Sus scrofa: one gene and its partners. The protein of the gene in region 3 purifies or fractionates together with the protein of the main gene of each other region. This does not show direct contact. Links are inferred from orthologs where the notes say so. Each region holds a gene or a part of one and is shown on either strand. Other genes may lie near its edges. The genes, in order: FBXO45, FBXW7 and MYCBP2.

The links.
Region 1: the proteins of MYCBP2 (region 3) and FBXO45 purify together in Homo sapiens (affinity purification with western blotting; 7 studies listed by BioGRID and IntAct, with this or other methods). This does not show direct contact. The link is inferred for Sus scrofa from reciprocal best matches to the Homo sapiens genes MYCBP2 and FBXO45.
Region 2: the proteins of MYCBP2 (region 3) and FBXW7 purify together in Homo sapiens (affinity purification with mass spectrometry; 6 studies listed by BioGRID and IntAct, counting the BioPlex papers as one, with this or other methods). This does not show direct contact. The link is inferred for Sus scrofa from reciprocal best matches to the Homo sapiens genes MYCBP2 and FBXW7.

Annotation. Positions count from the first base shown.
Region 1 is NC_010455.5:133,547,463-133,550,753, reverse strand, and holds part of FBXO45 (F-box/SPRY domain-containing protein 1), read left to right. Parts: intron 1-2,534; coding exon 2,535-2,720; 3' UTR 2,721-3,291. UniProt on the Homo sapiens protein: Component of E3 ubiquitin ligase complex consisting of FBXO45, MYCBP2 and SKP1. Functions in substrate recognition but also plays an important role in assembly of the complex.
Region 2 is NC_010450.4:76,691,498-76,695,152, forward strand, and holds part of FBXW7 (F-box/WD repeat-containing protein 7), read left to right. Parts: intron 1-2,035; coding exon 2,036-2,261; intron 2,262-3,655. UniProt on the Homo sapiens protein: Substrate recognition component of a SCF (SKP1-CUL1-F-box protein) E3 ubiquitin-protein ligase complex which mediates the ubiquitination and subsequent proteasomal degradation of target proteins.
Region 3 is NC_010453.5:49,216,221-49,219,875, reverse strand, and holds part of MYCBP2 (E3 ubiquitin-protein ligase MYCBP2), read left to right. Parts: coding exon 1-1,244; intron 1,245-2,986; coding exon 2,987-3,156; intron 3,157-3,655. UniProt on the Homo sapiens protein: Atypical E3 ubiquitin-protein ligase which specifically mediates ubiquitination of threonine and serine residues on target proteins, instead of ubiquitinating lysine residues.

The DNA of each region.
Region 1 (3,291 bases), on a different chromosome or scaffold from region 3:
TTAACTGCAAATACTAGGACTTTCTGCCTCCAAATATACAGATGCAACAACTTTTTTTTTTTTTTTTTTCTTTTTTTAGGGTCACATCCCCAGCATATGGAAGTTCCCAGGCTAGGGTTTGAATCGGAGCTGCAGCTGCCAGCCACAGCAATGCTGGATCTGAGCCACATCTGTGACCTACGCCGCAGCTCTCGGCAATGCCGGATCTGAGCAAGGCCAGGGATTGAATCCTCATCCTCACAGATACTATATCAGGTTCTTAATCCATTGAGCCACAATGGGAACTCCAAAGCATCCTATTTCTTTACTTCCTTTTCCAAATGGGGAAAGAACTGGATAATTGTCCTTCTAGTTTAGTTTAATGGTCAGTGCTGCTTATTTTATAACAGGTCTTTCAGAGTAGTAGACCACACTAGGCTGTTGAATAAGAATAGCTTTGTTAATTTTAAAGGCTATGTAAGTGTTTTATTACAGTTAATTTATTTTTATTTATTTATTTTTTTGCTTTTTAAGGCCGCATCTGCAGCATATGGAAGTTCCCAGGCTAGAGGTCTAATCGGAGCTGCAGTTGAGGGGCTACACTACAGCCACAGCCACAGCAACGTGGGTCCAAGCCATGTCTGTGACCTATACCACAGCTCACGGCAATGCCAGATTCTTTTTTTTTTTTTTTTTGTCTTTTGTCTTTTTTGTTGTTGTTTTGTTGTTGTTGTTGCTATTTCTTGGGCCGCTCCCGCGGCATATGGAGGTTCCCAGGCTAGAGGTTGAATCGGAGCTGTAGCCACCGGCCTACGCCAGAGCCACAGCAACTCGGGATCCGAGCCGCGTCTGCAACCTACATCACAGCTCACGGCAACGCCGGATCGTTAACCCACTGAGCAAGGGCAGGGACCGAACCCGCCACCTCATGGTTCCTAGTCAGATTCGTTAACCACTGCGCCACGACGGGAACTCCTTTTTTTGTGTGTGTGTGTTTTGTCTTTTTTGTTGTTGTTGTTGTTGTTGTTGTTGTTGTTGTTGTCAGATTCTTAACCCACTGAGCGAGACCAGGGATTGAACCCTCAACCTCATGGATACTAGTTGGATTTCGTTTCCGCTGCGCCATGATGGGACCTCCCCACAGTTAATTTTTTTATTGTGGTAAAATATACACAACAGTATTTATTATTTTAACTGTTTGTAAGTGAATAATTTAGTGGCATTAAATATATTCACAATGTTGTGCAACCATCACCCAAAACTTTGTTGTATATACACCCTAAACTTTTCCATTATCCCCAGCATAAACTCTGTGCTCACTGAACAATAATTCCACATTTCTCCCTCCCCCTCAGTTTCTGGTAACATCTGTCAGTTTTCTGTCTATATGAATTTGAATATTCCAGGTGCTTGATATAAGTGGAATCATATGATATTTGTATTTTTGTGTCTAGCTTATTTCTCTTAGCATAATTTTTTCAAAGTCCTTTCATGTTGTAGCACATATTAAAATTTCATTTCTTTTCAAGGTTGAATAACATTCTATTGTATGCATGTACTGTAGTAATTTGAGAAAACCTAGATAGCTTTTATTGGTAAAATAGACCAAATTTTAGAGTTTAGTGATAAGCTTCTTAAGAAAAAGCCTTTAAAATGAGTAAATAAAGGGAGTTCCCTAGTAGCCTACCTATTAAGGATCCAGTGTTGTCACTGATGTGGCTTGGGCTTGATTCCTGGCCCAGGAACTTCCACATGTCACAGACACAGCCCCCAAAAAAGAGTAAATAAAATCTGGGGACTGTTAAGGAGGAATATTTAAATTTTCCAGTATTAAATATAGATCCCAGAGTTCCCACTGTAGTGCAGTGGGTTAAGAATCTGACTGCAGTGTCTCAGGTCACTGCTAAGGTGCAGGTTGGCTCCCTGGCCCTGTGCAGTGGATTAAAGGATCCGGTGTTGCCACAGTGGTGGCATAGGTCACCGCTGTGTCTTGGATCCAACCCCTGGCCTGGAACTTTCCATATGCCACAAGTACAACCATAAAAAAATATTTAGATAGATAGGTAGATCCATCCCACATAAGTCTTAAGTTAAAAAAAAAATCAACACAGGGATTTGTGATGAAATTAATGTATATTCTTTTTCTAAATGTTTCTCCTGGTGGAAAAACTTTTATTTTTTCCTAGACAACTTTTGAGATATATATATATATCTTTTTTTTTTTTAAGGGCCACACCTGTGGCATATGGAGGTTTCCAGGCTAGGGATCCACTCGGAGCTGTAGCTGCCAATGCAAAAGCCACAGCAATGCAGGGTCCAAGCTGTGTCTGCAACCTACATCACAGCTCACAACAGTACCAGATCCTTAACCCACTGAGCAAGGCCAGGGATCAAACCTGCATCCTCATGGGTGCTAGTCAGATTCATTAACCGTTGAACCATGACAGGAACTCCGAGATATATATATTCTTCATAATATCTTCAACTTGTTTATTTCTTCTCACTATGCCTTTAATGGGTTTTCTTCTAACCTTCTTTTGATGTCTTTTTCACAGATAGGAGAAAGAATTCGAGTCATCTTGGACATGGAAGATAAGACTTTAGCTTTTGAACGTGGATATGAGTTCCTGGGAGTTGCCTTTAGAGGACTTCCAAAGGTCTGCTTATATCCAGCAGTTTCTGCTGTATATGGCAACACAGAAGTGACTTTGGTTTACCTTGGAAAACCTTTGGATGGATGACAGTGGCTTTCTTGGGATGAAAGACAGAGTGGAGGAGTTATCTGCTTGTGGAAAGTAGAATCATTAAGTGACAGTGTCATACATGCATGCCCAAGAAACATCCTGAAAAACACATGATATTGTTAACTGGAGAAGCAACTCTACAGCAGAAATTATCTTAGTGTTTCCCCTTTCTACTGGGCCAGAAAAATCCTCAGGGTTGCAGTTGGTTGAGTGGGCAGTTGACATATGCATGTTGCAACAGATTTTGTCTCTAAGTTAGCGATGTATTTCCAGCTTTTAAGGTGAGATCTTAGAGATGGTATAAAAGGGATAAGCTAAGGAAATAGTGAGAGTTTTAAGTAGTATGTTTGTGAAGGAAGACTGATCCTGTTTTACAACTGCCTGTTTTTTCTCCAGACCCTTTTTTCCAGCCAGCTTGACTATTAGAAAAGTATGAAACTGGTTGGATTTTATTTAATATTTTTAATATATTGAGAAGCATGGTCTCCCTGGACTGCACTTCTCTAACAGTGAGATATAAAATTGTGCAGCTATTTTAAAAGTTGTATATACAATATGTGTGTAAAAA
Region 2 (3,655 bases), on a different chromosome or scaffold from region 3:
CTTAAAATCGGGCAGTTGCTTTACGCTTCCTTCCTCATTTAACAGTGTTCTTGGCCTTCCCCTTGAACCTCTCTATTCTCTAATCTTGACTAATACCTTACTTAATTTTTCTAAATCTTGGATGATGCATCATCATAAAAAAAAAAAAAAAATTGGACGGAGCGTATATTTCTGGAAGTAGGACAAATTCAGTTATTCAGTCTTCAAGCCTCTGAGTCTTTACTTACCCACCTGCCCTGCCCCGACTCGGTCATAAACTGGGTCGTCTCAGGCAGAAACCGAGGCCTGTGGGATTAACTTATTCTCCTTACCTATCACCCAAACTATGGACATAGCGTTCAGACTCTTACACAGAACCTCCTCTAATTACCGTCGTATCACTGCTGACCGAATTAACAAAGAAACCCTCAATCCGGTTTCCAAAATAGTTTCAGCCGAACCAGACCGCTTGCCTTTTTCTTCTCAGCACCTTCGCTGTTGCTTTTATCTCCTCCTGCAAAGCTTCCCTGTGCAAGTCCCTTCTGTCTCCTGTTCGTATGCATGGTACTCCTGTTAAACAGATGTGATTTCTGTCCCATTTGTCGGAAGAGGTCTCTCTGAAGGGTCCTTAGAGTGAAGCCACTCCAGTCGTCACCGTTAATTCTGTCCGTAGCATCTTCCTTATTAAGAACCATTACATTAAGCAGATTTCACTCTAGATTTGTAATATGTGAAGAAAAGTACCTTTTCACATGTAATTTGAATCTGCTCTGAACAGTGCACGCTGCTGTTAAAACTGGGGGGATTGGTATCCAGAGACCTTGCATTTCAGTTGCCAGTAGTTTCTGACTTCAGTCTCTCAGTGCTTCCATTTTCTACTCTTCCAAACCTGGAAACTCTTTACCTATTTGGAATGATGTAAATTCGCCTGAGTTTTCAGCTTGCCTTTGTAATCCAAAGGTAACTGGAGTATTTCTATCAGTCTGGTTCTCAGAAGAGTATCAGTTTAATAATGTTGGGATGATTTTTAAGGGATTTCTGTTGCCTCTACCTACGTTTCTTCTGTAATCTGTATATCTTTTTTTTTTTTTACCATTTCTTGGGCCGCTCTCGTGGCATATGGAGGTTCCCAGGCTAGGGGTCTAATCGGAGCTATAGTCACTGGCCTACGTCAGAGCCACAGCAATGTGGGATCCGAGCCGCATCTGCAACCTACACCACAGCTCATGGCAACGCCGTCAACCCACTGAGCAAGGGCAGAGATTGAACCCGCAACCTCATGGTTCCTAGTCGGATTCGTTAACCACTGCACCACGACGGGAACTCCTGTAATCTGTATATCTTAATGCTTTCCCTGGCCTATTGACTAGTTTTAAATATAAGCATAAAAGCAGCCTTTGTTTGAGGATATGTTGAAGACTGGTTAATTTGACCAGAGTATGTGGTGTAAAGCACATATCTTTAGCTTTTTAAATGCCAAATTCCGATGTGTTTTGTTGAAATTTTTCCCTGATCGCAAAGGAAGTATGTGTTCATTATTAAAATTTGGGGACATGGCAGAAAGAATAAAGAAAATGTCAATTTTTCAGACAACTACCACCCATTAACATTTTACGCATGTTGCCCACCTCAGCATTTTATTTCTAACATCAAGATCTGCTTGTATGTATTCAGAACTGGCTGCTTCTGCTACTCCTGCTGCTGTTTATTTACTTTCTCTGACTTCTTTTTCCTCTTCTTCCTCTTTGTCTTTGCTAATTACAGTACAGTCATTTTCACACTGTTCCATGGGACCCTAAGCTGCTCCTGGAGCCCTCAAGCAGTGGGGGAACCCAACAGGCAGGAGTCTAGGCTTTCCAACTGCCTGTCCCCACCAGAGTCACTCAGCCTGTAGAGGTTTATATAGCAAGGTTGGTTTTATCTAGCGTGTGTTCCTTTTGAACGCAAGTGTTGCTGCTTAAAAAAGGAGAAAAGTTTTCATCCCCCCTGACTTCATATATCCGGTTTTCCCGTGTTATTAAAATGCTGCTGCCTTCTTTTCCGTTTCTCCCTGCAGAGTTGTTAGTGGTTCTCGCGATGCCACTCTTAGGGTTTGGGATATTGAGACAGGCCAGTGTTTACACGTTTTGATGGGTCACGTGGCAGCGGTCCGCTGTGTCCAGTACGACGGCAGGAGGGTTGTGAGCGGAGCGTATGACTTCATGGTGAAAGTGTGGGACCCCGAGACGGAGACCTGCCTGCACACGTTGCAGGGGCACACCAACAGGGTCTACTCGTTACAGGTAGGAGACCCACCTCCCGCTCCTGAGTGCCTAGTGATGCGGCGGCAGCTTGCCTCACCTTGATGGCCACTGCACGCTGCTGGTCCAGTACAGCCCAGAAAAAGCCCAGTTGAATTATTCTCTTTACCTTTACCTTAACATTGGCAGGAAAAAGCAGACATTTTGAGATGACTGAAATGATTTGTTTCCATTTTTCCATGATTCATTTCCTTCTAAAACACAAATATTTTGTCTTGGAACCTGAGCCTTTGGGGCCCTAAATTTTGCTGTATTAATTAATGGGTACATAGTCTCACAGGAGAATAACGTGGATTTTAATAAACTCCTTAGCAGAGGATTAATTTGGCCAAAAGCTGCCCTTTTTGCCTTGATAGCTGGAAGTTGATGGACCTTGTAATTGCCACTCCATTCAGGGCAGAAGCAGAGCTTTCTGCTCAGAGCTGTGCTACCATCACAGGGCCGCTGGTTTGTAGTCATGAGGAAGTAAATTTAATGAAACTGATTTTTGATTTTGTTTTCATTTGAACCTGATATCCCAGAATAGATTGCCATATTTTGCCATAAATAACTAGATGCATAGCAAGCTTAGCAAATGGGTCTTGTTTCAGGTCCTAAAAGACAAAACTTTCAGTTCAAAAATATAGCTGACCCTTGAACATCATGGGACTCAGGGGCGCCGACCTCACCCCCACCTACCCTCAACTGCAGTCGGATACCCTTACGCAACTTTACACCTGGCCCTCGGTATCTGCACGTCCGCATCCAAGAATCCAAGTAATCTCCAATTGTGTAGTCTTGTAGTAGGTGTTTAGTGAAAGAAATTTGAGTGTAAGCATGGACCTTTGCAGTTCAAACTCAACTTGTTCAAGCAAGGGTCAGCTGTGTTACCTATTCCTTACATGTAGTTTCTTTACCAGTTACTACCCATTAGTGATCAGCAAATTCATCTGTAGTCCCAAGGCTCACAGTTCTTTTCTTGGGGTATTTGTGTCTTAACTGTTGGATTACTATCTATGTCACGAAATATTGACATATAGTAAAGATATCTGTTAACTTAGAAAAGTTTATGAATTTGGAGGAGAGGGAATAGGCTGCAATTGTGTTTATGTTTTGTGATATGCTCAGACCCATAATGAATAAAATAATCTCATTTAAATAAACTATTAGATTGAGAAAAGAGGTAGCAACATTATTATAGATCTGGGAACGGGTAGGTATTTATCGACCTGGGGTATAGCTGGGAAGCTGGAGAAGAGGTACTATATATACTTTGGTTTTGTTATCAGAATGCCACTTCTAATTCTAAACATTATTATCTGGCGTTGGGTTCTTATAAATGGAATTTTTATTTGACATACAGCTTTTAATGGAACTTACTTTTAAATATCATGAAA
Region 3 (3,655 bases):
TAAAAATCTACCTCAGAAAAGCGCTGCTCCCGTGAAGACGAAACTCGACCCTCCTCGGGAACGCTCCAAATCAGACTCTTACACCCTTGATCCAGACACCCTCCGCAAGAAGAAGATGCCCCTCACTGAACCATTAAGGGGACGGTCAACATCGCCAAAACCAAAACCAGTACCAAAGGATTCTAAAGAGTCCCCCGGATCTGAAAATAGAGCGCCTTCTCCCCACGTGGTGCAGGAAAACCTCCACAGTGAGGTGGTCGAAGTCTGCACTTCCAGTACTTTAAAAACAAATAGTGTCACAGACAGCACCTGTGATGAAAGCAGTGAGTTTAAGAGCGTGGATGAAGGTTCAAATAAAGTGCATTTCAGTATAGGAAAAGCACCACTGAAAGATGAACAGGAAATGAGAGCATCCCCCAAAATAAGTCGAAAATGTGCTAATAGGCACACCAGGCCCAAGAAGGAAAAATCTAGCTTTCTCTTCAAAGGAGATGGATCCAAACCTTTAGAGCCCGCCAAGCAAGCCATGTCTCCTTCCGTGGCTGAGTGTGCCAGGGCGGTCTTTGCCTCTTTCCTGTGGCACGAGGGCATAGTGCATGACGCCATGGCTTGTTCCTCCTTCTTAAAATTTAACCCTGAGCTTTCCAAAGAGCATGCCCCCATAAGAAGTAGTTTAAACAGCCAGCAGCCTACCGAGGAAAAGGAAACCAAATTGAAAAATAGACACTCATTGGAAATATCATCTGCGCTGAATATGTTTAATATTGCACCTCATGGACCAGATATATCTAAAATGGGTAGTATCAACAAAAATAAGGTATTGTCTATGCTTAAGGAACCTCCTCTGCATGAAAAGTGTGAAGATGGGAAAACTGAGGCCACTTTCGAAATGTCCGTGCATCACCCAATGAAGTCTAAATCTCCTCTTCCCTTAACTCTGCAGCATTTAGTGGCTTTTTGGGAAGACATCTCTTTGGCTACTATCAAAGCAGCTTCCCAGAATATGATTTTTCCAAGCCCTGGTTCATGTGCAGTCCTTAAAAAGAAAGAGTGTGAGAAAGAGAATAAAAAGGCCAAAAAAGAAAAAAAGAAGAAAGAAAAGACTGAAGTTCGGCCGAGGGGTAATTTGTTTGGTGAGATGGCCCAGCTGGCAGTAGGAGGACCGGAGAAAGATACCATCTGTGAGCTGTGCGGAGAGTCGCATCCCTACCCGGTGACATACCACATGAGGCAGGCCCACCCTGGTAAGCGATGCTGCTGTGTGTTTGTAAGTACTTTGTGTAAAAAATGAGTTGGGTCACATCTGACTTAAGTTATTCCATGAATTACCCTAAGATACAGGGAAGCTGTTGCCCAGAATTAATAGTATCTTATAATGTGATTTTTTTTTCTTTCTTTTTTTTCCTTTATCTCTTTACGGCCACACCTGCAGCATATGGAAGTTTCTGGGATCGCATGGAAGCTGCAGCTGAGGCCTACACCACAGCCACACATCAACAGAGCATCTGAGCTGCATCTACGACCTGTGCCACAGCTTGTGGCAATCCCAGATCCATAACCCACTGAGCGAGGCCAGGGACTGAGTCTGCATCCTCACAGAGACAACGTTGAGTCTTTAAAATGCTGAGCAACATTGGGAACTTATAATGTGATTTCAAAGTGTGTTATCAGGAGTTCCTGTTGTGGCTCAGCAGGTTAAGACTCCAACTAGGATCAAGGAAGATGGGGGTTTGATCCCTGGCCTCCCCCTGGATTAAAGGATCTGGCGTTGCCGTGAGTTGCAGCATAAAGTCAGACTCACTCGGCTCAGATCTGGCATTGCTGTGCTGTGGCATAGGCCAGCAACTGCAGCTCCGATTCAACTCCTAGCCTGAGAACTTTTATATGCCATGAGTGCGGCCCTAAAAGACAAAAAAAATTAAAAAATAAAAAGTAAACGCATTATCAACATAGGTTTTGTGGAAGATAGGTAAAAGAATTCTAATAGTGTGTAAGCCAGTTTAATACTATTTCATTTTAAAGTATTACAGTCTAAAATTTTGTTTCCTTTTGAAATGGTTTATGTGTTACCCAAAGGATGCTATTAAGATGTCTCACAAAATAGAATGTTGACATGTCCACACACATAGGGAGTATCCTAACATTAGGTCTTCTCTGGTTGTGTTGTTTTCCCGTTCAGAATTGTAAATTAGATTAGATTAGATTGGCTTCCTTGGGTATTTTCCTGTGGAAAAGAAAACTGTTTCATCAGAAGACAGTATTTTAGATAAATGTAACTATTTCTTTTTGTGTGTGTGTCATTTTTTTGTCTTTTTAGGGCTGCGCCCTTGGCATATGTAGGTTCCCAGGCTAGGGGTCCAATCGAAGCTGTAGCTGCCGACCTTCACCACAGCCACAGCAGCTCAGGATCCAAGCCTCATCTGTAACCTACACCACAGCTCACGGCTATGCCAGATCCTTAATCCACTGAGTGAGACCAGGGATCAGACCCGCGTCCTCATAGATACCAGTCAGGTTCACTGAGCCACAACGGGAACTCCAAATGTAACTATTTCTATAACAATTGATTCGTATTCCAAAATTTACCTATTATAAATTTGGGCAAATGTTTTTCTATCCCTACATATTACACTGAACCTTTTATAAAATACATGCTTTATAAAATATATCATTCTTATGGAATATTTTATACTCCTTTGTCCAATTTTTTGGGCATATTTAGAGAAATCTAAATGTACCCACATCTTGTGTTTCTCTTCATCTGCCCGTGTAGAGTATCTTCAGTATTTTAGGCATCATTTAATTGATTGCTTTTTGATCATGCCTGCAATTTTCCTGGTATAAGTAACAGCCTGGGGGAAAATAGGAAGTTAGATGTTTGCTTCAGTATTTCCCTTGGAGAAGAAAAGTCTTCATTTATGTGGCAAGGATCAGACTCTTAAGGACACTTAAAGTGTTAAGTATTTATTTGTATTCTCATTTCAAGGTTGTGGCCGGTATGCTGGTGGGCAAGGTTACAACAGCATTGGGCATTTCTGTGGCGGATGGGCCGGTAACTGTGGTGATGGCGGCATAGGGGGGAGCACGTGGTATCTTGTCTGTGACCGCTGCAGAGAAAAATACCTCCGTGAAAAACAGGCTGCTGCAAGGGAGAAGGTATTTTTCTTTTGTTCTGGATATACTGTTAATGGTAAGGGTGAACCTTATAAAAATGTCTTTTAATGATCATAATATCAACCAGCTCCACATGGTTGATATTAAAGGTCAGCTTTTATAACAGGAATAATATATAATTATTATTGATTTATGTACCAGGTCAGCTGTTCTTAATTACAAAAACAAATTGTATCTTGGAATAACACAAAACAACTAACCTGTAGCTTACATCCCTTATTGAGAAGTGTAATTTTTTATTATTAATTGCCTGCTACTCTACACATATGTATAGCTTTCAGCTTCACCTTTCTCTCTCTTTTTTTTCTTTTTTCTTCTCTTTCTTGATTCTTTATCTCCTTTCTCTTCTTCTTAATCCCTAATTACGGTTGTAGGACTTAGGGAAACTTAGGATCATTGACACCAGTGGCACACCTAAATAAAATTTTGCTGAATGTACACACACATACACAGAATATTTACCCTTTTTTTTTTTTAATAA